Linked DNA regions of Anolis sagrei. The main gene of each other region encodes a partner of the protein of the gene in region 2 in a complex. Links are inferred from orthologs where the notes say so. Each region holds a gene or a part of one and is shown on either strand. Other genes may lie near its edges.

Region 1 (6,183 bases), on a different chromosome or scaffold from region 2:
GATTGTGCTCAGTTGTTTTAAAATAATGTTGTAATTGTGATTTTATTGTTACTGTTTGCTTGGTATCTAATGGTTGTGAGCTGCCCTAAGCCCCCCCCCCCCCCCCCGGGTGGTGGTGAGGACAGGATATAAATGTTTAAAATCTGAAATAAATAAATAACTACGTTTAACACTACAGATTTATTTCTTGGTTCAGCAGAGACGGCCCTAGGTAATTTTCAACGGTAAGCAAACAGTATTCCCCCCCACCACCACCACTCACTGATATATATTTTCTGTTCATCATGGGAGTTCTGTGTGCCATATTTGGTTCAATTCCATCATTGGTGGAGTTCAGTATGCTCTTTGATTGTAGGTGAACTATACATCCCAGTAACTACAACTCCCATATGTCAAGGTCTATTTTCCCCCAAGAGTGCCCCTGGGCAAAATCAACTATACTGCAAATGCTTACTTTGCGTAATGGGTTGAGCCGCCCCTGGTTCAGGTGTACTATATGAATTAACCACCCAGATAAGTGGATTAGAAAACATCTTGCATGGCATTTATTAAGTTATGAAAACAGTTGCATTTGACTTTACAGAACTTCGTTTCAGTTCATGAATTAACCATCTAGACAATGAGGCGAGAAAACACCTTATGCATTTAACTCCACAGAATTATTTTTGGCGTCACGTTCGCTATATGAATTAAGCTAGAAAACAACCCGGGTGTATCAAGTTGCTAAAATGCAACACATTTTTAATCTGTTCGCCGCACAAATTAAGAATCCAAACAAGCGAGTGAGAAAACACCATGCGTGGCATTTAGTAGCGGTTAAAACGCTTCGGAGTTAAGAGGGATGGGAAAGGTGTCCTGGCGACTCCGGAAAGCAAGCGACGCCTGTGTCCGAAATCAGGAGGCGAAGGGAAACGGCCGGCCTCGAGTTTCTCCGGGTGCCAAGGAGGCGGTTTTTCAGAGTCCAGGTGGCGCCTGCCGTGAAGAGTCCAGTCCCGCCAGGACGATCGGGGCCGAGACGAGGCCTCCCTTCAGCCGCTTCGCTTCGCTCCCTCCCTCTGGCGCTCCTGCTGCGGCCTCAGGACTCGTCGGGCTTGTCGGCGGGGGGTCCGCAGGGCTGCAGCATCTTCTCCATGAGGTTGAAGCGGACGCGGGCCTTGCTCTCGTCCTCGGCGATGGCGAAGTAGTTGAGCAGGTCGAAGTGGCCCATGTAGGAGCAGTAGGAGTCCCGGTGCTGGTTCACCAGCCACTCCCACTTGGTCGTGTCCGCGTGGCCCGTCCCGATGTACTTGGACTGCAGGTGCTCCAGCTGGCTGTGGATGGTGTAGCGGTCCGTCATGGCGGCAACAACGGCAACGGCTTCACAAACACCGGCAAACTCTCCGCGGCCTTCAAGCTGCCCGCCAAGCGCCTCTCAGGAAGAAAAAAAAATGAAGGCCAAAGCAAACGAACAAACTTTGCGTGGCCAAGGGCGCTTCCGCTTCCGGATTAAGAAACACATACGCTCTCTCCCGTCTTTCTGTTTCCGCTTTGTTGGAAGGCGGGACTTATAACCCTAGCAGCCAATAGTATTTCTTGTCCTCTGCTTCCCTCCAACGAATGAGAGAAGGGGTTTCATTTCTTATTTCCCGGGGGACGCAAGGGCGGGAACTCGAAAGGGAGGCTTCTTGAGAGGAGGTTGGACGGGATGGCCCACGAGGTCTCCTCCAACTCTATGATTCTATGAGACTGGAGGCTGTAGTTGGAGGCCAAAATGGGCGCATTTAAAGGCATTGTTGGACACCAATCTCTTTAGAACATGGTTCTCTCAAAGCTTGATGCGGTTTGGTCTCGCTGTCACCGCCCCGGCTCAGTGCTGTGGAGCCCTGGGAGATGTAGTTTGGTGAAGCAGAAGCCGTTTGGAAGAGAGAAGCCTAAAGACCGTGTAAAAACTCATTTAATTGAGGCATGGCCGTTAAAGTGGTGCCAAACTGCGTTAATTTTACAGTATAGATGCACACTCAAGTTACTTGGAAAGACCGATAAAAACGAATGTGTGCCTCCACAAACTCAATCCAGGATTGGCTTCGAACAGGACAGGGCCTCTCTCTGAGGCTACTAAACTTTGATTACAACCTATGTATGAAGCACAGCAATGAAAAGTAACATTTGAGGAAACAGAGTTGGCTGAGAAGGCCAGTGCTCCCAGCTTTGTCCTCTTCGGAACTACAAGAGGCGCTTTGTCTTAGGTGCCTTCTCATAAAAAAACAACAACATGGCAATTCTGGGCATTGCAATTTAAGGGAGATGTCAACCTGAAATGTGTTATTATGATATTGCTTTCTGTTTTTTGTTACTGTATTGTAATGCATTCCTGGGCTTGGCCTCATGTAAGCCGCCCTGAGTCCCCTTTGGGGAGATGGTGGCGGGGTATAAATAAAGTTATTATTATTATTATTATTATTATTGAGGAGCGGCTTGAAGAGCTGGGCATGTTTAGCCTGCAGAAGAGAAGGCTGAGAGGAAACATGATGGCCATTTATAAATATGTGCGGGGAAGTCATAGGGAGGAGGGAGCAAGCTTGTTTTCTGCTGCCTCGGAGACTAGGATGCAGAACAATGGCTTCAAATTACAAGAAAGGGGATCCCACCCGAACATGAGGAAGAATTTCCTTAACTGTGAGAGCTATTCAGCAGTGGAACTCTCAGCCCTGGAGTGTGGTGGAGGCTCCTTCTTTGGAGGCTTTTAAACAAAGGTGGGATGGCCATCTGTCAGGAGTGCTTTGAAGGTGATTCTCCAGCTTCTTGGCCGCGATTGGACTGGATGGCCCACAAAAACTCTTTCAACTCACTGATTCTAGGATTCTGCACACATGCAAGCCGCCCTGGTCCTCCCCATAGAGAGCTATGTTGAAATCTTCCTTCATCTGAAATTATGGATTAAGTGTTTTTCCAATAGGCCTGAGTCCTCCTAGACCCTGTGCTAGTACAAATTACATTGTCTTTGAGCCATCTACAGACCATTCAATGCAGTTCCAAATGGGTATTGAAGAAAGTGGTTTTGCTCTGTAGATGATTGATTACATGGGAAATCAGTTTGAGGCTCTTATGGTGATGACATAAACCACAGAGAGAGAGCACTGATGTGCACTAAAAGCTTTCTTTCACATGCTTTTGTAGGAGTTTGCTGTCTGTAGTTTGAAGCCACCTTTGAACTGCATTAAAAGGTCTTTGTCAATGGAGCCTCTGTTATAATTCAGAATGGAAACACAGGAGTAACAATGCTGCAAACAAGAATCCAGAAATAGCTGGCTGCAAAAGGGTAATGAGGAAAAGGTGTGATTCTAAGCCAGGCTTGCAAACAATAACAATTGAAATTCCCAATATCTTAAAGTGACTTTAAAAGGATTGCGGGACAAGTTGGCTTCTGCAGTTAATCTCATCAGCCACTGGGTGTCAAGAGTTATCTGTTCTGAGTGAGAAGACAACATACATATTCTCGATGGGTGCTGTATGGTATGAGAAACCCAGAGAATTCCTAAACAGTTCATAAAGTGAGGCTTGTGGCTTTAATACTTTAGAATTTAGAAGACTTCCGTGTTAGTCTTTTCTAGAGTGAATGACTGTATAATTTGATGGACTACAGACAACACATCATGGTATGATCATAGTCCAAGAAATGTTCCCATGTCTGTGGGTCACTAAACCTTCTTTGCTCTGTGTATTTTAATATATGTATTTTAATGTATCATATTTATCTCTATGTTTTAATTATGTTGTACATTGCCTTAGAGCCATGAGAAGAGGAAGGTAACAAATAATTGTTGTTATTGCTGTTGTTGCTGTTATTAACATTAAGCCAATCAGAGTGCTTGAATCGAACACTCCCAAACAATTCCCCACTAAACCAGTGCATTCCTGTGTTTTGTTGGCTGGGAATTTACTGAAAGATATTATTAAACATTTGTTGACATTTGCTTTTAGAACTGGCTTTTTTAAAAAGAGCTTTTAGTTCATTTCCAGGAATTTTACCAATAATAAAGCAACTGAAATAAATAAAATGCTCTTCAATAGTGGACTGCCTCAATAATCAATGGACTCTTTTTCACCAGGCGTTTTTATCCTATGGCTGAATGGCCACCTTCAGGTATGCTTCAACTGTGGGATCTTCCATTGACAGAGAATTGGACTAGATGACCTTCAATACTATTCCGTCACTAACAGTTCTACGATTCTATATGCGTATTATCAGTTGGCAAGGGTTTTGTGATCATCACTTTTAGGATATTTGTTATACTGTTAAAGGAGACAGGTATATGTACTCAGTTTTTCATACATTCTCATGAATCCAGTGTTCTAGGTTGCTGCTTGGTGAAATGCCTTATTTGTATTGAATCACTGCTGGGATTTTTGCTATGAAAGCCAGGGGTTTGGCAGAGAGCCTTGCTCCCAAGAATACCTATTCCTGGTGGCCCCAAATGCTGTTCTTACCAAAGCCAAGGTCTGGACCACAGCCACATGGACTTTTCCATGATCTTCTTTCCTGCAAAAAGTCACAAGTCTCTTAATACCACATCTGCCCTCAGGAAGAACATCACACTTCTTGAAAAGTTATGTTTACTTAGCGCTATGTTCTGTTCTCTTAAGGTTGCTCTTTTAATGTGTCTAGAGAAGTTTGTTCTAACTTTTCATTAGTTTGTGGTTAGAATCTCAGACACTGAAGACCAACCCCTGGTGTCTGGAACAATTGAATCCAAGCTCCCAGTTTTGGTCTTCCCTGTCCCTCCTTACAACTCCTTTCAAATCAGCTGCCTCTTTGTACACGTTGAGGAGCCTGTGTCCAAACAGCTTGGAATCAGACTTATTTAGGATTTCTTTTTTAAAAATTGGAATACCTGTATTTCCATATACAGTCGTAATAAAATATATTGAGGATGGTACTCAAGTTTAAATACGAAATGTCTTTGTATTTAATATACAACGTGGACATATAAAGGTAATTTAAAGCAATGTTTTAAATGTGTGTATGAAGTAAAGTCTGGGTCCTTCGGACCCTTTGAAAGCAAAAGTATCTCTATCTCAGCCATCTTTTGAATTTCCTGGTGGTTCTAGAGGCCCAATTTCCCTAGTTTCAATATTTGGATTCCAGCTTTCATCTGCCCCACCATATCCAAAAGGGAAGGCTGGAGTTATGATGCAGCAACTCCTGGAGGACCATGCTTTCTCTCCACTAGTTGTGGACAACAGATATGAAGAAAGAGATTATGGAGAAAAAAAGCTGGAAATTATCATATGACCTATCTTTAATTTTCAGTGAGTCACTTTGTGTTGTAAGCTTCACATTATCACGTGATAATCTCAATTATTAATACTGTAACATGACATTAATGTCATAATGGAAAGCTCAATGTTGCTAAACCAAACTCAGCTGAACGTGACTTCAAGAGGGACTGGTCTAGTCAATGCACGTAGTGTGTCATGTATATATTCTCAGTGGCACAGCTGCCTATCATCATTAAAACTCTACTAGAACATTCTTTCTAAGAATTTGCTGATAACAATGGAGTCATACAATCCTTATCTTGACAGAAGTCTAATATCTTTACTCTGCACAAGGCAAAATCCAACTGTAAACATAAAGTATGTCGCCAGATAAGACCTCTGAGAAAGTTAATAAAAGATTTACATACAAAGCTAGGAATATCCCTTTAATACTGTCTCTAATGTGAGGAACCAGAACAGCTTAGCTGGGACATTCTCCTTTCAACAGCAGGTTGAGATTACCACTTTAAACAAAAAAAAAATCATAATTCTCTCTTTGAATAGTTAGGACATTACACGGTTAAGATTAACTAATAGCAAAAAAATGTAGTGCACTCATATGAACCAATTAAGACTAGAAAATGCCTTTCTAAAAAAAAACCCTCTTACATGATGAAATGTAGGTTGAAAAAATGTGCCTTTAAATCCATCACAAAGCAACTTTTAAAATTCATATGACAGGAACAGAACAATCAATTGAACGAAAAAGCAATCAGTTACAGGACACATATGGAGAGTTCCACTCTGTCCTGCCAGTGACCTCTGATGCAGGGAAGGAAGGATTGTGAAAGGGATCCTCGTTCTGATTGTTGCACCAGAGATGCTGTGCCCTGATCAACAGGAGACAGCCCTCTGTTGCTTGTATTGACTGTTGCCTGATAAATC
Region 2 (7,177 bases):
CGGTTAAATGACCTTGGAGGGCCGTATTCGGCCCCCGGGCCTTAGTTTGAGGACCCATGATCTAGAATTTTGTATTATTATTTAAACAATGGTTGCAAAGTTTAAATGTTTAATTTGATAAAAAGGTTTTAGCAAAGTAAAAAGCATCCCAATCAGTACATGCTTTAAAATGTTATCTGTTTTCAATATACTAAACTATTAAAAGCTACAGCCAACATGTATAATCTTAAGAAACACCATGCCCTTTCACTTTCATCAAGCAGAAAATGCCTCTTTCTGGAAATAACAATTGTTTTGGTAAATGAAAACCTCATTAATATATTTAATTCTTCAAAGACAGGTTTTTAGACATGTGCAAATGTATACAGACTTAACTAAATGGAATAAATTTCTTAATATCAGGAAGAACACTATGTTTTTATGAGTTAATAGTGCAGACTTACAGATCAACCTGTCAAATCCTGCTGATGCCAAAGTTGCTCCGTTAGGATGAAACTTACAACAGTAAACCTCTCCTTCATGCCCTGAAAGCAGCATTATGGGTGCCTGGAGAGAGGAACATCTTGGAGGGCCCTAAAGTAGGAAAGTGTAACACATTCAAGTCTCTATGGCAACAAGAAGATAGACATCTATTAAATTAAAAGAATAGTATAGGCACTTCACTTCTAATATCCGGTAACTTCTTATCTTAGAGGAAAAGTTAAGCATTATAACCAGTCTAAATCTTTTAATTACATGAATTATCTCAACAGGAGACCCAAGATAAGCACTGGCTGCCCTCTTTCTCCACTCTTTGGAAGGACTTTATAGGTCCCGTTGCCTTAATAAAGCTCAGAGCATTCTTGGGGATCCATCTTACCCAGCATATTATTCTACAGAATTATTACCATCTAGCAGACGGTACAGGGTGACAAAGACAAGTTCAAACAGACTGAGAGGTTTTATCCTATAGCTCTGGCTATGTTGAACCCCACAGCTTCGCATTGATATGGCATTGAGGGCTGCGCCATAGCTATTAGAATGTGGAGAGATGGGTGTTTTGTGTTGTGTGTCGGAGAAGACATTTAATTTCATTGTGCAGTAGTACAATAAATAATAATAATAATAATAATAATAATAATAATAAACTTTATTAATATAATATAATAAAACCTCGCCACCATCTCCCTGATGGGGACTCGGGACGGCTTACATGAGGCCAAGCCCAAACAACAAATTACAGCAAAATAAAACAAAAACAATAAACAACATCATAATTACATAAAACATATGAATGCATAACGATATAAAATTACAGTAAACACAATCACAGTGACAATGGGCAGGCTACATGTAATGATTAAAAGAAAAAGAAAAGAAAAACTAATTAAAAACTGATTAAAATAAAGCTATTCTATTCTATTTGATGTATTAGTGTATATACCCAGTGTTGCTCAAGCGTCATTGGGACCACTGTCTGTTTACTTTATCCCTTCTCTGGTTCTGAGAAGGCCTTTCTTACGTTGTGAATCCAGCAAAGACTGAGATCCTATGGCTGGGTAAACCAGGCAGTGGGGATATCCAGCTGCCTACCCTGGATGGCGAGGCGCTATGCCCATCATCATTGGTAAAGAGTCTGGGAGTCCTTTTGGACCCTCTGCTGACGATGGAGGCCCAGGTCTCAGCTGTTAGCAGAACTGCCTTTTTTCATCTGCGGCAGGCTAGACGGCTGGCCCCCTACCTGTCCAGGGGCAACCTAGCTACGGTGATCCAGGCCACGGTCATCTCAAGACTGGACTACTGTAATGCCCTCTACATTGGCCTTCCTCTGTCGGTGATCCGGAAGCTCAAGTTGGTACAAAATGCAGCTGCTCGGCTTCTTGCGGGAATTCCGATGAGATGTCACATAACCCCAATCTTACTGCAGCTGCATTGGTTACCCATTGAGCACCGGATCACTTTCAAAGTGATGGTACTCACCTTTAAGGCCTTGCATGGTCTGGGGCCGATGTACCTGAGGGACCGCCTCACCCCCTTCCAACCCCAGAGATCCCTCCGTTCTGAGGACCAAGATCTATTGGAAATTCCCAGTGTCAAGACCTTGCGTCTAACAGCAACCAGGCGCAGAGCCTTCACAGCAGTGGCACCATCACTCTGGAACACTCTGCCACCTGAAGTCCGTGCCTTGCGGGACTTCCCAGCTTTCCGCAGGGCATGTAAGACATACCTGTTTCGATAGGCTTTTAATGTTTGATATTGCTGTTTTTAATTTGTTTTAAATTGCTTTTAAATTGTGTTAGATTTTAGCCATTCTTGTAAGCCGCTCCGAGCCCCAGGGGAGTGGCGGCATATAAGTTTAAATAATAAATAAATAATCCGTCAATCCAAAAAAGAAAAGACTAAATCAGTAGAGTAAGGTTACCTCAATCATGTCATGCATAGACAGTCCAGTAGCTGGGAAAGAAATAAAAGTTAGAGCCATGGAGGCATTACTTTTTGACCCACCCGGGTATATGCCATCTATGGGCCAACATGGGCCTTCCCTCCAGGTGTTTTGGACTCCAACTCCCACCATTCCTAGCAGTTTCAGGTCCTTTCCTTTTCCCCCTCGGCCGCTTAAGCGGAAAAGGAAAGGGAAAAGGAAGGGGCCTACGGCTGTGAGGAACGGTGGGAGTTGCAGTCCAAAACACTGAATGGAGGCAGAGACGGCCCAAGTTGGCCCAGGCCTGGTAAAAGACACTGCCTGCCGACTTCCTCTGCCGTAGAGTCTAACCCGGGAGGCGAGGCCCGAGGCCTGCGGCCTGCCAGTGCACTCACCGCGGGCAGCAGGGCGCCCGGGGGCCCCGAAGGAGGGCCAGCCCCGGCGGCGTCTTGGCGGGGCTTCTTCGCCGCCGCCACCACCAAGGCCAAGTCCGTAGGCGCCTTCCGTTTCTGCGGGTCCAGCATAGCCGCGGAGAGACAGAACAGGCCTCACACCCTACCCGAAAGAGGACTGCGCTCCCTCCTTTCTCATTGGTCGCCTCATACCCAATCGGCAGCTTCTCGGAATATAGAGCACCCCGATTGGACGGGGCTGAGCCCACCCCTTATGTACGCCGTATGCCGATTGGTTGGGAGGAAGAAAGCGCCTCTGTTGGGGTTTCCGGAAAGGCGGACGTGCTGAGTGGCGGAGGACAGCGTCCACAGGCGTCAAACGGCTCTGAAGTAAGTAATCCCCTGGCAGGGAGGGGGCCTTCTCGTTGTTTTTGACTGTCGTCAAGTCATCTTTGCCTTACGAAGAAGTTGGGTTGGAAGAGAACCCATGGCGAATCCAGTCCAACCCCCTCATGCCTTCATGCAAGAAAATCACCACCAAAGCTCCCCCGACAGATGGCCACCCAGCCTCAGTATTAATTAATTAATCTATATAAATAAAAACCACTGGACGAATTGACACCAAATTTGGACACAAGACACCTAACAACCCAATGTATGTCCTTCACTCAAAAAAATTGATTTTGTCATTTGGGAGTTGTAGTTGCTGGGATTTATAGCTCACCTACAATCAAAGAGCATTGTGAACCCCACCAACGAGGGAATTGAACCAAACTTGGCACACAGTTCTCCCATGACCAACAGAAAATACTAGAAGAGTTTCGTGGGCAGTGTCCTTTGGTTTTGGAGTTGTAGTTCATCTACATCCAGAGATCACTGTGGACTCAAACAATGATGGGTCTGGACCAAACTCTACATGAATACTCAATATGCCCAAGTGTGAACACTGGTAGAGTTTGGGGAAAATAGAATCTTGACATTTGGGAGTTGTAGTTGCTGGGACTTATAGTTCACCTACAATCAATGGGCATTCTGAATCCCATTTTCTGTACCCCCCCCCCCAATCCCATTTCCCAAATTTTGGCAAACCTGATTTTAAAAAGCCCTTGACTGGGGAAATACAGGGAAACCTAAAACATAGTCCATTTGTGTTGTTGAAGGCTTTCGTGGCCTGAATCACTGGGTTGCTTGAGTTTTTAGGGCTGTATGGTCATGTTCCAGTAGCATTATTTCCTGACGTTTCACCTGCATCTGTAGACCTATGAAGACGCCAGCCACAGATGCAGGCGAAACGTCAGGAAGGAATGCAACTGGAACATCTACTTCATCACACTAGTGAATCCACTTTAAATCTGGTTTCTGCCTCCTGCAGAATTATGAGGCTTGTAATTTAGTGAAGCTGTTCAAGGCTCTTCTTTAAGCTACAAACCCCAGAATTCTTCAAGAGGTAGCAACCAGATTTAAAGTGGATTCATTCTCTAGTGTGATGAGCTCGATGGTCATATAGCCCAAAAAACTCATAGGAACCAAGTCAATTTGCCCCCTTGATCTCTAGGGCAGTGTTTATCAAACTGTGCTCCTCCAGGTGTTTCAGACTCCCAGAAATTGCAGCCAGCTGTTATAAATTGTGGGAGCTGAAGTCCAAAACATCTGGAGGAGCAGTTTGAGAAACTCTGCTCTAGGGAACATAGCAAGGCCTATTTAACTTTTTAAATACCCAGATTTGGGACACATGCTGGGAAAATGCAATCCTTGGAAGTTCCCATGCCAAGGTAATTCCTCACCTCTCCAGTTGTTCATTTCTAGTATACTGTTGACCCTCCACATTCACATTCTTTTTTTGTAGGTTTCATTATTGGTGACTTTGTAGGTGTAGCTTAACTAGCTTGATCTCTTTGCCTACTTCTTTCAACCTGGCACTATGAGAAGTGGGATTGAATATCTGGTTGATGCAGTATTATTGTACCAAAGTTAGAAAGAGAGTGACAGGTTCACACTGTTGGCAAGAGAGGAGACTCAGGGAGGAGCGGAGTGAGGAAGTGAATCAGCTGCCAGCTGCTTAAATTGGTTTCTGTGTCCTAGGAAGGAGGAGGGGTTTTGAAAATCTGACTGGGGCATCATGGTGCCAAGGTAGGAACAGGAAATATGGACCAGGGATGTTGGTGGGAAAGGAGTCTGTAACACACATGATTTTGTGGGGAGTGGGAAAGACTTCAAAAATTCAAGTTTTTGCTTTCACTGGAATATTGCAGCCCTAAACCATGTGCATGCGGAAGGTGGGCTTTAGTGTTAGTAATTTGAAAAATACTGCTAAAACATTCTTGTGCTGGACGGGGTTGCACTCCCCTTGAAGTCACAGGTCCGCAGTTTGGGAGTCCTCCTGGATTCATCACTTACACTTGAGGCTCAGGCGTTGGAGGTGTCCGGGTGGGTCTTTGTGCAATTGAGACTTGTGCGCCAGCTGCGACCATACCTCGCAAAGGCTGATCTGCCCGGGGTGGTCCATGCCTTGGTCACCTCTAGACTGGACTACTGTAATGTGCTCTACGTAGGGCTGCCCTAGAAAACTGCTCGGAAATTCCAACTAGTCCAACGGGCAGCGGCCAGGATGTTAACTGGGGCTCCTTACAGAGAGAGGTCAACCCTCCTGTTTAAGGAGCTCCATTGGCTGCCGTTTATTTTCCGAGTCCAATTCAAGGTGCAGGTGCTTACCTACAAAGCCCTAAACGGCTTGGGACCTGCCTACCTGCGTGACCGCATCTCCGTTTACGAACCCACGCGCTCCCTTCGTTCATCTGGAGAGGCCCTGCTCGCGATCCCACCTGCATCGCAGGCGCGGTTGGTGGGGACGAGGGACAGGGCCTTTTCTGTGGTGGCCCCCTGACTTTGGAACACCCTCCCTAAAGACATTAGACAGGCCCCCACACTGGCAGTCTTTAGGAAGAATTTGAAGACCTGGCTGTTCCGATGTGCCTTTCCAGAATAGGAAACTCCAGTAAGCACGTTATTAGAGTCCCAGAAGCACTTTACCAGAACTTTAAGATTCTCTGCACACTGCACTTTGCATCGAGTCCTTCGGGAGATGCTAGTGGGGTACAAATAAAGTTTAATAATAATAATAATAATAATTCAGGATGTTGCCTAAATTGTGTAGATAATACCAGTTGCAGTATATTTCATGTCTGTTTTTGTCTCATTCTAAGGAATAACATAAAGCATACAGAAGAAAGGGTAACCAGAAGATTTATGTGATCTCCCAGTAAGCTGCACTAGTTAAGACAATGGAAGTATTTCCAGAACTGTATGACATATTCCAGGGAGAGGTAAGTGTTGTAACTTTGACGTTTTAGAGTGAAACAAGAAGAAACATTATGGAAAACATTGTAACAACTTTAAGAACTGTTGTTGTGTTCTGTAATTTCTAGCATTACAACAGTGAAGTTCTGTAATATATGCTTAGATGTACAGAATGTACCGAATTACTCACTGATTCAGTATCCATGATACCTTTTTCTGGATGTGTTTCTGGGCCTTTCCCAATCCTCCAGTGCAATTCTGCAAAATGCTTTTGGTCCAGGTCAAGTCAAAACAATAGGGTCACTGTTATCTACAGGTTCAGGTATTCACTGCGGGTCTTGCAACATAGCACCCACATTATACTGTGATTGTTTCTGATTAAAATTGCCAGGAAGTGTGTACAAAAATGCAGCATGACAATACAATCCTATGCATATCTGTTCAGAAGTAGGGTCCACTGCATTCATTTGTATGTGCACCCAAGCAATCATGTATAGACAGAGGTCCTCCTGGTCAGTCGCAAGGCCAAACAGGGTATAGGGTCGCAACCTGTGCTGGATGGGGTTACACTCCCCTTGAAGGCACAGGTTCGCAGCTTGGGAATTCTCCTGGATTCATCACTGAGCCTGGAATCCTAGGTTGCAGCGGTGGCCAGGGAGCTTTCACACAATTAAAACTTATGCGCCAGCTGTGCCCATACCTTGGGAAGTCAGATTTGGCCACAGTGGTCCATGCTCTCATTACATCCAGGATAGACTACTGCAACGCACTCTACGTGGGGTTGTATTTGAAGACTGCTTAGAAGCTTCAAATAGTCCAACGAAAGGCAGCCACGTTAATAACTGGGGCGGCATAGTGGGAGCATACAACTCGCATGTTATGCCAGCTCCACTGGCTGCCAGTTTGCTACCGGGCACAATTCAAAGTACTGGCTTTGGTCTATAAAGCCGTAAACGGCCCCGGCCCAAATTACCTGTCCGAACGCATCTCCCTCTATGAACTATCGCGGAGATTAAGATCCTCCGAGGAGGCCCTGCTTTCCATCCCGCCATTGTCACAGGCACGATTGGTGGGGACGAGAGAGAGG
Region 3 (7,907 bases), on a different chromosome or scaffold from region 2:
TCAAGGGAACCACTCATTGCATAGGGAAGCTGATGAGGAAACACAACATACAAATTATATACAGACCCACCAAGAAAATCTAACAAATGCTACATTCAGCAAAGAACAAGAGGGATCCACTTACTTCTGCCGGAGTCTACCATATACCATGCAGCTGTGAACAAGTCTATATAGGGACCTCCAAATGCAGCATTGCCCAAACACAAATCAAGGAACATGAACGGCACTGCAGACTACTTCAGCCAGAGAAGTGAGCCATAGCAGATCACCTGATGAACCAACCTGGACACAGCATATTATTTGAGAATACAGAAATGCTGGACCACTGTAACAACCACCATGTCAGACTACACAGAGAAGCCATTGAAATCCATTATTATTATTATTATTATTATTATTAACTTTATTTGTACCCCGCTAGCATCTCCCGAAGAACTCGATGCGGCTTACAAAGGCCAAGGCCTCAAAACATGGCATAACAATACACAACTCAAAGCAAATCAAAACAATTAAAGCAATATCAAAAACAACAGAACAATAAAACAATACACCAAAATACAATAAAACTGGGGCCGGGCCAAATGTAGTGAAAACTCCAATAACAAGTCCCAGAAGCACTTTATTAGAATTAAGATTGCTGGCACACTGCACTTATCCTATAATCCTTACATATCACCTGTCACTTCAGCACTTTTAATCTGTACCCATTACTCTGGCCCGGCCCAGTTTTATTGTGTCTTGGTGTATTGTTTATTGCTTATTGTTTAATTTTGCTTTAACTGTTTTTAATTTTTTTATTTGCTTTAGGTTGTGTATTGTTATGTTGTGTTTTGAGGCCTTGGCCTTTGTAAGCCGCATCGAGTCCTTCAGGAGATGCTAGCGGGGTACAAATAAAGCTAATAATAATAATAATAATAATAATGGGTACAGATTAAAAGTGCTGATGTGACAGGTGGTATGTCAGATTTTAGAGTAAGTGCAGTGTGCAAGCAATCTTAAAGTCTAATAAAGTGCTACTGGACAATTTCAACAGAAAGGAGGAAACCGTGAAAATGAACAAAATCTGGCTACCACTATTTAAAAAACCCTCTAAAATCATAACAGTAAAACACTCAAACACAGGGAAACTCCAGAGAGGAAACAATCAGGGACAGCTAATCACCTCTCAACAAAGGATTTCCCCAGGCACTAACAAGCCACACCAAAAAACTGTCAGGCCTTCAAATGCTAATCAAGGTGGCCAATTGAAACATTCACACCTAGCTCCAACAGACAACAGTTCTTCCTCCCACCCTGGACATTCCACAGATATATAAACCCAATTTTTCTAGTTCCAACAGACCTCTCAACCTCTGAGGATGCAGGCGAAACGTCAGGAAAGAATGCTTCTAGAATATGGCCATGTTGTTGTTGTTCATTCGTTCAGTCATCTCTGACTCTTCGTGACCTCATGGACCAGCCCACGCCAGAGCTCCCTGTTGGCTGTCACCACCCCCAGCTCCTTCAAGGTCAGTCCAGTCACTTCAAGGATGCCATCCATCCATCTTGCCCTTGGTCAGCCCCTCTTCCTTTTACCTTCCACTTTCCCCAGCATAATTGTCTTCTCTAGGCTTTGCTGTCTCCTCATGATGTGGCCAAAGTACTTCAACTTTGTCTCTAGTATCCTTCCCTCCAATGAGAAGTCAGGCTTTATTTCCTAGAGGATGGACTGGTTGGATCTTCTCGCTGTCCAAAGCACTCTCAGAACTTTCCTCCAACACCACAGCTCAAAAGCATCGATCTTCCTTCGCTCAGCCTTCCCTAAGGTCCAGCTCTCACATCCGTAGGTTACTAAAGGGAATACCATGGCTTTGACTAGGCGGATCTTTGTTGCCAGTCTGATGTCTCTACTCTTTACTATTTTATCGAGACTGGACATTGCTCTCCTCCCAAGAAGTAAGCGTCTTCTGATTTCCTGGCCACAGTCTGCATCTGCAGTCATCTTTGCACCTAGAAATACAAAGTCTGTCACGGCCTCCACATTTTCTCCCTCTATTTTCCAGTTGTCAATCATTCTTGTTGCCATAATCTTGGGTTTTTTTTTTTATGTTGAGCTGCAACCCAGCTTTTGCGCTTTCTTCTTTCACCTTGATTAGAAGGCTCCTCAGTTCCTCCTCGCTTTCGGCCATCAGAGTGGTGTCATCTGCATATCTGAGGTTGTTAATGTTTCTTCCAGCAATTTTCACACCAGCTTTGCATTCATCAAGCCCCGCACATCGCATGATGTGTTCTGCATACAAGTTTAAAAGGTTGGGTGAGAGTATGCAGCCTTGCCGTACGCCTTTCCCAATCTTGAACCAGTCTGTTGTTCCGTGGTCAGTTCTGACTGTTGCTACTTGGTCCTTGTACAGATCTCTCAGGAGAGAGACAAGGTGGCTTGGGATGCCCATACCACCAAGAACTTGCCACAATTTATTATGATCCACACAGTCAAAGGCTTTAGAGTAAATGAAGCCGTAATAGATGTTTTTCTGAAACTCCCTGCCTTTCTCCATTATCCAGCGGATATTGGCAACCTGGTCTCTCGTTCCTCTGCCTTTTCTAAACCCAGCTTGAATATGGCCATGCAGCCCGAAAAACCTACAACAACCCAGTGATTCCAGCCATGAAAGCCTTCAACAATACATTAGCCAGAGAAATGATAGGGCTGGAAGGAGGCTCAGGGGCCATTGAGTCCTGCTCAACTGTAGGTCTTCCAGCTAAAAGCAATTCTAGCAAGTCTTTTCGAGGTTGTCCTTACACACTATGCTGTTGGGTCGTATTTTAACAATGTACTAGTTGTACAGTTAGAGGGGGGAAAACCCTCATATTCAGTTTAGACAGTTTAAACCCTCATATTCAGTTAAGACAGGCATGCAGCCCTACCTTCCTGCTTTTCCCTTTGCTTTACCGCCTTCCTCAGCACAGGCTGCGGCGCACGTTCGTTGCTACGTTCTCTTTCCCCGTCGCGCGAGCTGCGACGACAGAATGAAAGGCCCCCTTCTTGCCTCCGGGTGAGGCTGTCTACTCAGTTGCCGGAATGATTTCCTCCATTTCTTTCTTTAAAGGTGCAGTCCCGATATATATCGGTCTTGGTGGAAAGGCATAATACAACAATAACGTGTTATATTATTGTATTGTTGTATTTATGGCTATCTACCAAGACCGATATATATGGAGGAAAATAGAGGAAATCATTCCGGCAACTGAGTAGACAGCCTCATCCGTAGGCAACAGGGGGCCTTTCATTCCCTCGTCTATAGGAAATACGGAGTTGAGCTATTAGCTCCACGGCTGGAAGGCCCTACCCACCTCGGAGAGTGTCCTGGTTGCTATGGAAACCTCGTTGGCATGGGAACGCGAGGCCTACCCTGGAGAACGAACTCCAGCGCCCTGTGTAGACTGAAAAGCTGCCTTCTCTCGGTTTCGTGCTTTTGGTGTGGATTTTCCAGTGCAAATTTTCCTGAAGTATTAGTTGTACTCGCTAAGCGTTGTGTGGCCAACCCTCCATCCCTTTTTCTCTTCTTTCTTGCTCTCCTTCCCTAATTCTTTCCTTCCTTCCCTTTTCCCCCTTTCCTTCTCTTCTTCCTTTCTTCCCTTCCTCTTTCTCCCCTTTCTTCCTTCTCTACCTATTCTTGGACTGCAACTCCCAGCAGTCCTGATCTATCTATCTATCTCTAATCTATCTATCTGGAGGATTGCTGGAAGTTGCAGTCCAGGAATAGGAAATTGAAAATATTCAGGGAATAGGATGCTCTCAAAGAAATCCAAGGAAATTGCATTTTGAAAGCAGTGCATTTGGATCATCCTCCTCCCCTAAAGAGCCTGGTCTAGGGGATGCTGGGAGCTGTAGTCCGGAAGAGAGTGTGGCTATGCTATTGTGTGTTTTGTTTGCTGGGAGAGACATTTTTGTGCATGCGCTGTAGCATCTTTTGCTTTTTTGGCTTTTTAAGTCTCTTCTGCTTTGTTTGTCAGTGTTTTTATGAGTGATAGTCACTCATTGGCCTGATATGTGTATTGTGTCCAAATTTGGTGTCAGTTCGTCCAGTGGTTTTTGAGTTCTGTTAATCCCACAAACGAACATTACATTTTTATTTATATAGATATGTAAAAGGTAAAGGTTGTCCCCTGACATTAAGTCCAGTCATGTCTGACTCTGGGGTGTGGTGCTCATCTCCATGTCTAAGCCGAAGAGCCAGCGTTGTCCATAGACACCTCCAAGGTCATGTGGCTGGCATGACTGCATGGAGTGTCGTTACCTTCCCACCGGAGCGGTACCTGTTGATCTACTAACATTTGCATGTTTTCGAACTGCTAGGTTGGCAGAAGCTAGAGCTGACAGAGGAAGCTCACGCCGCTTCCGGAATCGAACCTGTGACCTTTTGGTCAACAAGCTCATCAGCTCAGCACTTTAACCCACTGTGCCACCGGGGGCTCATAGATATGTGATCCTTAAAAAATATGTAGTGATCCTTAAAAGAGACCCACAGAAGTTTATGATTTAAAACAGGAGTGGGAACCATTCGGGCTTCCATTATTGGGAGACTGCTTTGTTGCTGGGAGTTGCAGTCTCCCAATAGTGGAGGCCTGAAGTGCCTTATTTAGGCCCCTTCCACACAGCTGTATAAAATCCATATTGAACTGGATTATACAGCAATGTGGACTCAGGTGACCAAGTTCAAAGCAGATATTATGTATTATCTGCCTTGATATTCTGGGTTATATGGCTGTGAGGAAGGCCCTGAGAGCCTACTATATTAATGTCTCTTGATACTGGAAATGTATCTCCATCTTATGGAATGTGTTCTCTCTATTTTTTAATGCTCTCAGTTGTTGTTTTTACTATCAGGAGCAACTTGAGAAACTGCAAGTCATTTCTTGTATGAGACAATTGGCCGTCAGCAAGGACATTGCCCAGGGGACGCCCAGATGTTTGATGTTTTACCATCCTTGTGGGAGGCTTCTCTCCTCTCCCCGCATGGGGAGCTGGAGCTGACAGAGGGAGTTCAACCCACTCTCCCCAGTTTCTAACTGCTGACCTGTTGGTCAGCAGTCCTGCTGGCACAAGTGTTTAACCCATTGTACCACTGGGGACTCCATTTAATGCTCACAGTGCTGATGCTTTTGTAGCTAAAATTGTACAACTGGTGCAGAAGAGAGAATTGCATAGCCCAAACAAAATAATTATTGGGCTCCTTCCGCACAGCTATATAAGATCCCACATAATCTGCTTTGAATTGGGTTATATGGCAGTGTGAACACTGATAATCCACTTCAAAGCAGATAGTGTGGATTATCTGCCTTGATATTCTGGGTTATATGATTGTGTGGAAGGACCCTTAGTGTCTTGTTTTTTAGGCTTGTTTCTGTTGTTCTTTGGGGTGATTACTCAGAAAATTGCACTGTCTAGCATCAGCTCTAGTTTCTTAGATGTAGTTATGATTTTTTATGGGAGAGCAGATGAAGACTGCTACATGACAAAGGTAGAGCTGATAGGGGAAAACTGGTGACATTTTGGGAATCAACAAGTCCAGTATACCCAAAAACAAATGTAACATTTAAAGCACCAGAATGTGTGTTGGACAGTGTTATCAGCAGCCTCAATGAACTCTGAGATTTATAAAGGTGTGTGTGTCCACACACACACACAAATCATGATCTATAAATCAACAGGGGCTGGGAGTGATTGGTATGTTTCAAATGCAGTCTTATTCTTGGGCTAGAATCAAAAACTGTACCCAAGGAAGATGATGTTGTGAAGAAGGTCATACCTGATTGACTTTAAATGCCGAACAAAAGTGTTCCTTGCACATTTGTAATAGATTCCATTTGTACCCATCTGAATTTGGCGAGGAGATGCTCTCTTACAGTTAAAATAATTGGTATGCAGCCAGGTTTTGCTGCTTGAATTGAGAAGAAAAAAAGAGTTAGGAGTTGTGAGCTGGCTTAATGTGAAGCACCACGCGTCAGGGTGCAAGCAACTCCTGCCAAGATCTGGATTTGCCAATATGCTGAATCAATTTGGCCCTAAGGGGGGCCTGCTAATATAGCTGTAAAATTGACTAGTTATTCAAAAGATGCTGTAAATCTGTTCTTTCTCCCTTAAAAAGCTGGCTTCTGTAGGGCTCCTTCAGCCCATTGACTGTGGTTACTTTGGGAAGTGGAAAATGCATAACAGTATGCTCAGATGGTAACTAATATCATCTGGTTTCTGTATGTGTGTTTGTGCATATATTCGCTTATGATTTATTTGGACTGATCTTTCTTCCTCTTGTTTAATATCTTTGTATCCTCCAGTTAAAGTTGTTCAGCCCCAATTTTTGGCATAAGAGTTGTTGTTTTAATTAAATATTATACTAGTTTACCTGTGCTGCTCCTAGGTCTTAAGAATGGAAGGCATGATAGATTTCCGTACTTTGGAAAAAGAGTTGGAACAAGCGATTGCCAGTGATGAGAAGTACAAGAGAGAAAACGATGCCAAATTTCGAGCAGTGCGCCAGAAAGTAGCATCCTATGAAGAATTCAGGTTTCTTGAGTCTTATTAATTCCTTTCTTGATGAGAAAGAGGGGGTAGATAAAACAAAATACTTATCTTTAGAGCAGCTGCTTGTGATTTTATCTCAATCCATATACAGCTGTTAAGTTAATACAGTTTAGCATCTGATGTATATGGCATACTAACCAGCAGTTCCCAAATTAAAACAGACTTGCACCAAGAACAACTGGCATGACTTTCCCCCACAGTGAAATCTGTTCTATAGACATTAATAGGTATGTTGTTAATAGTAATTATACAGTAAATAGAACATGAAATGTTCGTGCACACCCATTACTGTTTTGCAAAGTGGTAATAAAGTGCTGCTTCTTCCACTTCCAAGTTTTATTGTTTGGATATCTGAGAGAAAGGAGGCATCCTATAAAAGGATTAAATGGAGCAGCATTTTTTACGGGCAGCTACAAATGCAGGTAGTTAGAGTATGTAAATTTTGCCATATGCAGGCTACCACATTAAATTGTGGCACATTGAAGGTATTCACTTTACCATATGACTTAGTTGTTTTAGTTGTTTGTAGGCATCTGAAGTTTCTTTGTCCTTTGGACAAGCTGAACAGGTACTTGGCACTTGAATGAATACAATACTAGGTAAAATTGTTGTGCCTTTAATAATTTTATTAAAGAAAAAATTTCAAAAAGTAGACGCTTTCTTAACTCCACAACTTTGTATTTAATCAGACTACTGTTGAACTTTTAATAATGCACACTTTTTTGTTTCCTGTAGGGATATTGTTCGAGCATCACACTTAAAGCCTTTAGACAAAGGGGACAAAATGAGGAGCAAAAGAAGCATGTTATGGAATTCCTGTGCATTTAAATCAAACTGCAAAGAAGAAAGTGGAATAGAATTGTCTCAGGTGAAGTAGCTGTTCTTGAAGTTTTTTTAAATCTGTGGTCTCTTCCGAGCCAGATTCCTCTTAAAAATCACAGTAATTCTTGGTTTTAACAGATTTTCTTTTAATGTAGAGACTGGAAGTATGTTGCTGCATATACCTTTTTATATAATTTTTGATATTGACATTTCTTCCTCTTAATGAGGAACTATGAAGCAAGCATATACCAATAACAAATTGCTTCAATGTTCAGAGTGTAAATCCTGTGTCAATGATGAATCCTCTTCCCCATCTTTGAGAATGTCTTTTTAAAATTATGTTAATTTTGTCCCTTATATCCTACCTAATATCCTACCTTTTGCCCATTATTTATTCTACAAGATTAAAAAAAATAAAATTGCATGGAAACTATCTGCATATTTTGAACATCATAGGACTTTGCTTAATACATGCAGAAATAGGCATTTAATAACATGTAGTATTTCCAATATTAGTGCTAAA
Region 4 (6,975 bases), on a different chromosome or scaffold from region 2:
CAACAACAAAACTAACTACATTTAACCCAGCATATTCATGTATTCTGTATCTGCTCTGGGACAGAGTGAAGAGAGAGGGGGCCAGGGGACAGTTCCATCTTGTCTCTTGCATATGTCATCAGTTGGGGACCCCTCCCCCCAGCACCAACTGCTGCTCTGAGCCAGAGTGAAAAGAGGGAGGGCCAGGGGACAGTTCCATCTTGTCTCCTGTGCTATGCTAATAATCTATATAAATAAAAATGTAATGTTCGTTTGTGGGATTAACTTAACTCAAAAACCACTGGACAAACTGACACCAAATTTGGACACAATGCACCTATCAGGCCAACAAGTGACAATCACTCATAAAAACACTGAAAAACACAGAAGGGACTTAAAAAGCCAAAAAACAAAAAATACACTACAGCGCATGCGCAAAACCACATATTTACACATATACACATACAGACACACACAAAACACATATACACAGGCTGGGCCACAGCAACGCCTGGCAGGGGACAGCTAGTATCTTATAAATAAAAATGTAATGTTTGTTTGTGGGATTAACATAACCCAAAAATCACTGGATGAATTGACACAAAATTTGGACACTATACCCCTAACAGACTAACAAGTGATCATCACTCATAACCCCCACCCCCAAATGTCTTCTCTGTGTAGTCTGACACAGCCCAGCATTTCTGTGTTCTCAAATAATATGCTGTGTCCAGGTTGATTCATCAGGGGCTCTGCTATGGCTGATTTCTCCGCTTGAAGTAGTCTGCAGTGCCTTTCATGTTCCTTGATTTGTGTTTGGGCAATGCTGCGCTTGGTGGTCCCTATGTAGACTTGTCCACAGCTGCATGTTATACGGTAGACTCCTGCAATAGTGAGAGGATCCCTCTTGTCCTTTGCTGAACGTAGCATTTGTTGGATTTTCTTGGTGGGTCTGTAGATGGTTTGTATATTGTGTTTCCACCATGCAGCATATTATTTGAGAACACAGAAATGTGGACAATTTCAACAGATATATAAACCCATTTTCCTACTTCCAACAGACCTCACTACCTCTGAGGATGCTTGCCATAGATGCAGGCGAAACGTCAGGAGAAAATGCTTCTATTATTATTATTACTATTATTATTAAACTTTATTTGTACCCCGCTAGCATCTCCCGAAGGATTCGATGCAGCTTACACAGGCCGAGGCCTCAACACACAACACAACAATACAATCTAAGCAAATCAAACAATTAAAAACAGAATAAAGCAAAATAAACAACAGGCACAATACACTAAACACAATAAAACATGGCCGGGGCAGAGAATGGGTACAAGATTAAAAGTGCTGATGTGACAGGAGGTGTATATAGGGCTTCTAGGGCAAGTGCGATGTGCAGCAATCATTGGTTCTGATAAAGTGCTTATGGGACTTGGTAGTGGAGATTTCCTAATCTGGGAAGGCGCATCGGAAAAGCCAGGTCTTCAAGTTCTTTCTGAAGACAGCCAATGTAGAACATGGCCATATAACCCGGAAAAACCTACAACAACCCAGTGATTCCAGCCATGAAAGCTTCTCTGGCTGAAGTAGTCTGCAGTGCCTTTCATGTTCCTTGATTCGTGTTTGGGCAATGCTGCGTTTGGTGGTCCCTATGTAGACTTGTCCACAGCTGCATGGTATACGGTAGACTCCTGCAGAGGTGAGAGGAGCCCTCTTGTCCTTTGCTGAACGTAGCATTTGTTGGATTTTCTTGGTGGGTCAGAAATGCTGGACCGCTCTCACAACCACCATGTCAGACTACACCAGCGTTTCTCAACCTGGGGGTCGGGACCCCTGGGGGGATCACGAGGGGGTATCAGAGTGGTCACCAAAGACCATCAGAAAACACAGTATTTTCTGTTGGTCATGGGGGTTCTCTGTGCCAAGTTTGGTTCAACTCCATCATTGATGAAGTTCAGAATGCTCTTTGATTGTAGGTGAACTATAAATCCCAGCAACTACAACTCCCAAATGACAAAAATAAATCCCCTCCCAACCCCAAGAGTATTCAAATTTGGGTGAATTGGGTATTTGTGCCAAATTTGATCCAGTGAATGAAAATGTATCCTGCATATCAGATATTTACATTATGATGCATAACAGTAGTAAAATTATAGTTAGCAACTAAAGCAATTTTATGGTTGGGGGGGGGGTCACCACAACATGAGGAACTATATTCGGGGGTCACGGCATTAGGAAGGTTGAGAAATACTGGACTACACAGAGAAGCCATTGAAATCCACAAGCATGTGGACAATTTCAACAGAAAGGAGGAAACCATGAATTTGAACAAAATCTGGCTACCAGTATTAAAAAACTCAAAAAATTGCAACAGTACAACAACAGAGAGGAAGCAGGCAGGGACATCTAATTACCTCTCAACAAAAGTTTACCGCAGGCACAGTCAGGCCATTGTATGCTAAACAAGGTGGTCAGTTGAAACATTCACACCTAGCTCCAACAGACAAGAGTTCTTTGTCCCGCCCTAGTCTTTCTACATATATATAAAGCCATTTTCCTACTTCCAACAGACCTCACTACCTCTGAGGATGCTTGCCATAGATGCAGGCGAAACGTCAGGAGAGAATGCCTCTGGAACATGGCCATATAGCAAGAAAAAACCTACAACAACCCAATGTATTCCCAATTCGCTTCTGACACACGGGCGAGCCGCTGAACTTCATTAGCAAGGGATAGTCATAGGTGTCTTCGCCAATGCCTGATTTAAAACACAGGCCCCAGCGTTGTTGTTTAAAGCAGGGCCCAAATTCTCCCTCCCTCAAGGAACGGAGACCCACAGAAGTCGGCGAAGGCTCCCCCATTTCCCGGGGACCCCCTCCTTCCCGGTTCTGGGCTCCTCACCGGATTCCCTGTCACTGGCGGGCCTCTTGCGCTGAGCCCTCCCCTGCGCGGGGCGACGCTTCTTGAAGAGGAAGCTGCAAACAGGCTTCTCGTCCGCCATCTTGGTTGTGAGTCCAAGCGGAAGGGGAAAAGGCCCGGACCGCTTTGGGGCGCTCTAGCCCTTGGCGTCTCTAAAGTCAGGCGTTCTATAGATGACACGACTGTGCATTGGAGAGTCACGCGCAGTTAAGAGCTTCCGAGGTCGCTCTGCTCTGCAAAGGGGAGAAAAGGGGAGGACTTTTAGTATTACTCTCTTTTTTGCTCATCTATAAAATATATTATGCATTAAATATGTGTGTATGTGTATGCATATAGAAAATATATGTTTTTATTTTAAAAATTATATATATATATATATATATATATATATATATTCTATATGCAAAGCGGAGGACCTTTTGTATAACTCTCATTTTTGCTCATCTATAAAATATATTATGCATTAAATATGTGTGTATGTGTATGCATATGCATATAGAAAATATATTATATATTTTTATTTTAAAAATTATATATATATATATAATATATTATATATTTTATTTTAATATATATTTTTCATTAATATATATATATATATTATATTCTATATTATATTCTATATTCTATATTCTATATATATAATATATATAATATATTTTTATTTTAATATATATATATATATAAAATATATATTTTATTAATATCATATATATATATATATATATTCTATATGCAAAGGGGAGAAAAAGGGAGGACTTTTAGTATAACTTTTTTTTGCTCATCTATAAAATATATTATGCATTAAATATGTGTGTATGTGTATGCATATGCATATAGAAAATATATTATATATTTTTATTTTAAAAATTACATATATATATATTATATTTTATTAATATATATAATATATATATGTATTATATTTTCTATATGCAAAGGGGACAAAAGGGGAGGACTTTTAGTATTACTCTCTTTTTTGCGCATCTATAAAATATATTATTCATTAAATATGTGTGTATGTGTATGTATATGCATATAGAAAATATATTATATATTTTTATTTTAAAATTATATATATATATTAAAATATTATATATATATATATATATATATGCAAAGAGGAGAAAAGGGGAGGACTTTTAGTATAACTCTTTTTTGCGCATCTATAAAATATATTATGCATTAAATATGTGTGTGTATTTGCATATGCATATAGAAAATACATTATATATTTTTATTTTAAAATTATATATATATATATATAGAAAATATTATATATATATATATATACACATATATATATGCAAAGAGGAGAAAAGGGGAGGACTTTTAGTATTACTCTCTTTTTTGCGCATCTATAAAATATATTATTCATTAAATATGTGTGTATGTGTATGTATATGCATATAGAAAATATATTATATGTTTTTATTTTAAAATTTTATATGCAAAGAGGAGAAAAGGGGAGGACTTTTAGTATAACTCTTTTTTGCGCATTGTGGATGTACCCTGAACCTCACACACTAACACACATAAATAGATGAATGCATGGAAGTTCCACTCTCACATCTCACTCTTATGTAAAGGCTGATCTAGCTGGGGTGGTCCATGCCTTGGTCACCTCTAGATTAGACTACTGTAATGCGCTCTACGTGGGGCTGCCCTTGAAAACGGCTCGGAAATTTCAACTGGTCCAATGGGCGGCGGACAGGTTGTTAACTGGTGCTCATTACAGGGAGAGGTCAACCCTCCTGTTTAAGGAGCTCCATTGGCTGCCGTTAATTTTCCGGTCCCAATTCAAGGTGCAGGTGCTCACCTACAAAGCCCTAAATGGTTTGGGGCCCACCTATCTGCATGACCACATCTCCGTATATGAACCCACACGATCCCTCCGTTCATCTGGAGAGGCCCGCTCACGATTCCACCTGTGTTGCAAGTGCGTTTGGTGGGAACGAGGGACAGGGCCTTCTCTGTGGTAGCCCCCCGACTGTGGAACTCTCTCCCCAAGGACATCAGACAAGCCCCTAAGTTGGCAGTCTTTAGGAAGAGCTTGAAGACCTGGCTGTTCCAGTGTGCCTTTCCAGAATAGGACACTCCCAGCATCATGTCCCAAACGCACTTTACTAGAGATTTAAGATTGTCTGCACATCGCACCTACCCTAAAATCCTTACATTTCACCTGTCATGTCCAGCACTTTTAATTTTATTTATTACATTTGGCCTGGCCCTAGTTTTAAATGTGTCATGATGATGTATTGTTTTAATGTTTTACTGTTATTGCTTTAATGTTTATTGGTTTGCTTTATGAGTTTTCTTGTTGTATTTGTTATACTGTTGTTTTATTGAGGGCCTTGGCCTTTGTAAGCCACACCGAGTCCTTCGGGAGATGTTAGCGGGGTACAAATAAAGTTAATAATAATAATAATAATAATTTAAGGGTCGGTCAACGTGAATCTCCATCATTGGTGAAAAAGCAGCTTCTTTTAGGAGTTTTGCCATTGGAAGGAAAGCTTTGATGGGCTTTGCATTCTTTTCTCTCTGTCTTGCAAAGGACGTTGTAGCCTTTTCTACATTTGGGTGACCTTCACAGATAACATTCCACTTGTGAGATTATGTAATAGGTTGGTTGTGACTGAGAACAGCATGAAGCATAAGAAAGAGAAGCTGGAAATCGCCAGATTATGAAAAGGGGAGATGGACCTGATGTTCAAGTCAAAGCCATTTGTGGCAGTCGAAAATCAACATTGCTCCACCAAGACCATATTGCAACAGTGCTTCAAGCATATCTGTTTTCTTGCCAAACTGAATACTCTCCGTTAATTGGAAACCAACCAGAGCTTTCAAGCAACTGGCAACAATTTTTTTTATTACTAAAATTGCATTCTGCATTCACAAATCTCTTATAATACAGGCAGTCCCCAAGTTTTGAACAGGTTCTGTAGGTTTGATCTCCAAGGCCCTTTCTACACAGCTGTATAAAATCCAGATTCTCTGCTTTGAACTGGATTATCTGGCAGTGTAGACTCAGATAATCCAATTCAAAGCAGATAACGTGGATTATCTGCTTTGATATTCTGGATTATATGGCAGTGTAGAAGGCCCCAAGGCAGCCTTTATACAAACAACATTCAGACTGAATATACACTGCCATATAATTCAGATTATCAAAGCAAATATTCCTCATCTGCTTTGGACAGGATTATGTAAATTCACACTGCCATATAATCCAGTTCAAAGCAGATAATTTGGATTTTATATGGCAGTGTAGATGAAGCCCTAGTAGTCCTTATGTTCTAGGCCCATGAAAATGTGAGATAAGGGGCCCTTCCACACTGCCATATATTCCAGTTCAAAGTAGAAAATGTGGGATTTTATTCAGTTGTGTGGAGGTTTAGGGCATTTATAGAAATACCCTTGTGAAACAGTAGAAACCAAACATACAAGGGTTGAATTAAAAGTAATGCCTCCACCTTCGTATCTCCTCAACAGATGGCAGTACTGGCTTGTAGACTGTAGACTGTCCTCTACAGTTCCATTTTGGCGGGAAGCTTTAGCATTGAACAGTTGTGTTGTTAAAGTGCAAAGTATGGAACCCTGCGCAGACGGTCGGTCAACGCAACTTAAGCAACGTGCAGTCACTGAATTCTTGACAGCAGAAGGTGTCACCCCAAAGGAGATTCATCAGAGAATGCAAGCTGTTTATGGTGATTGTGTTGATGTGAGTACTGTGTGTCATTAGGTGAGTAAATTTAAAGATGTTGAGGTGGGAACATCTGTCTTGCGTGACAAACAAAGAGTTGGATGTGCTGTGACAGCAACCACCGAGTTTCACAAGCAAAAGGTTGACAGATTGATTCAGGACGATTGTTGTATCACCCAGAGAGAAATTTCAAGCATAACCAGCATTTCACAAGAATGTGTGGGTCACATTATTGCTTTGCTTGGCTATTGGAAAATCTGTGCACAATGGGTACCCAGGATGTTGACGCCTGAAATAAAAGCGTACAGACTTGAAACTTCAGAGACTGGATCTCACCACCATATGACATCCTCCATGCAGTCCAGATTTAG

The links.
Region 1: SNRNP40 (region 2) and SF3B5 share a complex: the UniProt entries of both Homo sapiens proteins name them as parts of the minor spliceosome. The link is inferred for Anolis sagrei from reciprocal best matches to the Homo sapiens genes SNRNP40 and SF3B5.
Region 3: SNRNP40 (region 2) and EFTUD2 share a complex: the UniProt entries of both Homo sapiens proteins name them as parts of the minor spliceosome. The link is inferred for Anolis sagrei from reciprocal best matches to the Homo sapiens genes SNRNP40 and EFTUD2.
Region 4: SNRNP40 (region 2) and E3 ubiquitin-protein ligase RNF113A share a complex: the UniProt entries of both Homo sapiens proteins name them as parts of the pre-catalytic and catalytic spliceosome complex. The link is inferred for Anolis sagrei from reciprocal best matches to the Homo sapiens genes SNRNP40 and RNF113A.

What each region holds. Positions count from the first base shown.
Region 1 is NC_090021.1:76,161,792-76,167,974, reverse strand, and holds SF3B5 (splicing factor 3B subunit 5), read right to left. Parts: upstream 1,494-6,183; 5' UTR 1,337-1,493; coding exon 1,076-1,336; 3' UTR 519-1,075; downstream 1-518. UniProt on the Homo sapiens protein: Component of the 17S U2 SnRNP complex of the spliceosome, a large ribonucleoprotein complex that removes introns from transcribed pre-mRNAs.
Region 2 is NC_090034.1:63,886,168-63,893,344, reverse strand, and holds the start of SNRNP40 (U5 small nuclear ribonucleoprotein 40 kDa protein), read right to left. Parts: upstream 3,004-7,177; 5' UTR 2,926-3,003; coding exon 2,797-2,925; intron 574-2,796; coding exon 444-573; intron 1-443. Other genes in the region: ZCCHC17 (zinc finger CCHC domain-containing protein 17), read left to right, coding at 6,075-6,116. UniProt on the Homo sapiens protein: Required for pre-mRNA splicing as component of the activated spliceosome. Component of the U5 small nuclear ribonucleoprotein (snRNP) complex and the U4/U6-U5 tri-snRNP complex, building blocks of the spliceosome.
Region 3 is NC_090026.1:47,532,240-47,540,146, reverse strand, and holds the start of EFTUD2 (116 kDa U5 small nuclear ribonucleoprotein component), read right to left. Parts: upstream 3,014-7,907; 5' UTR 2,905-3,013; intron 1-2,904. Other genes in the region: CCDC103 (coiled-coil domain-containing protein 103), read left to right, coding at 3,370-3,486, 6,399-6,544, 7,298-7,430. UniProt on the Homo sapiens protein: Required for pre-mRNA splicing as component of the spliceosome, including pre-catalytic, catalytic and post-catalytic spliceosomal complexes. Component of the U5 snRNP and the U4/U6-U5 tri-snRNP complex, a building block of the spliceosome.
Region 4 is NC_090026.1:52,101,312-52,108,286, reverse strand, and holds the start of E3 ubiquitin-protein ligase RNF113A, read right to left. Parts: upstream 3,027-6,975; 5' UTR 2,984-3,026; coding exon 2,884-2,983; intron 1-2,883. UniProt on the Homo sapiens protein: Required for pre-mRNA splicing as component of the spliceosome. As a component of the minor spliceosome, involved in the splicing of U12-type introns in pre-mRNAs. E3 ubiquitin-protein ligase that catalyzes the transfer of ubiquitin onto target proteins.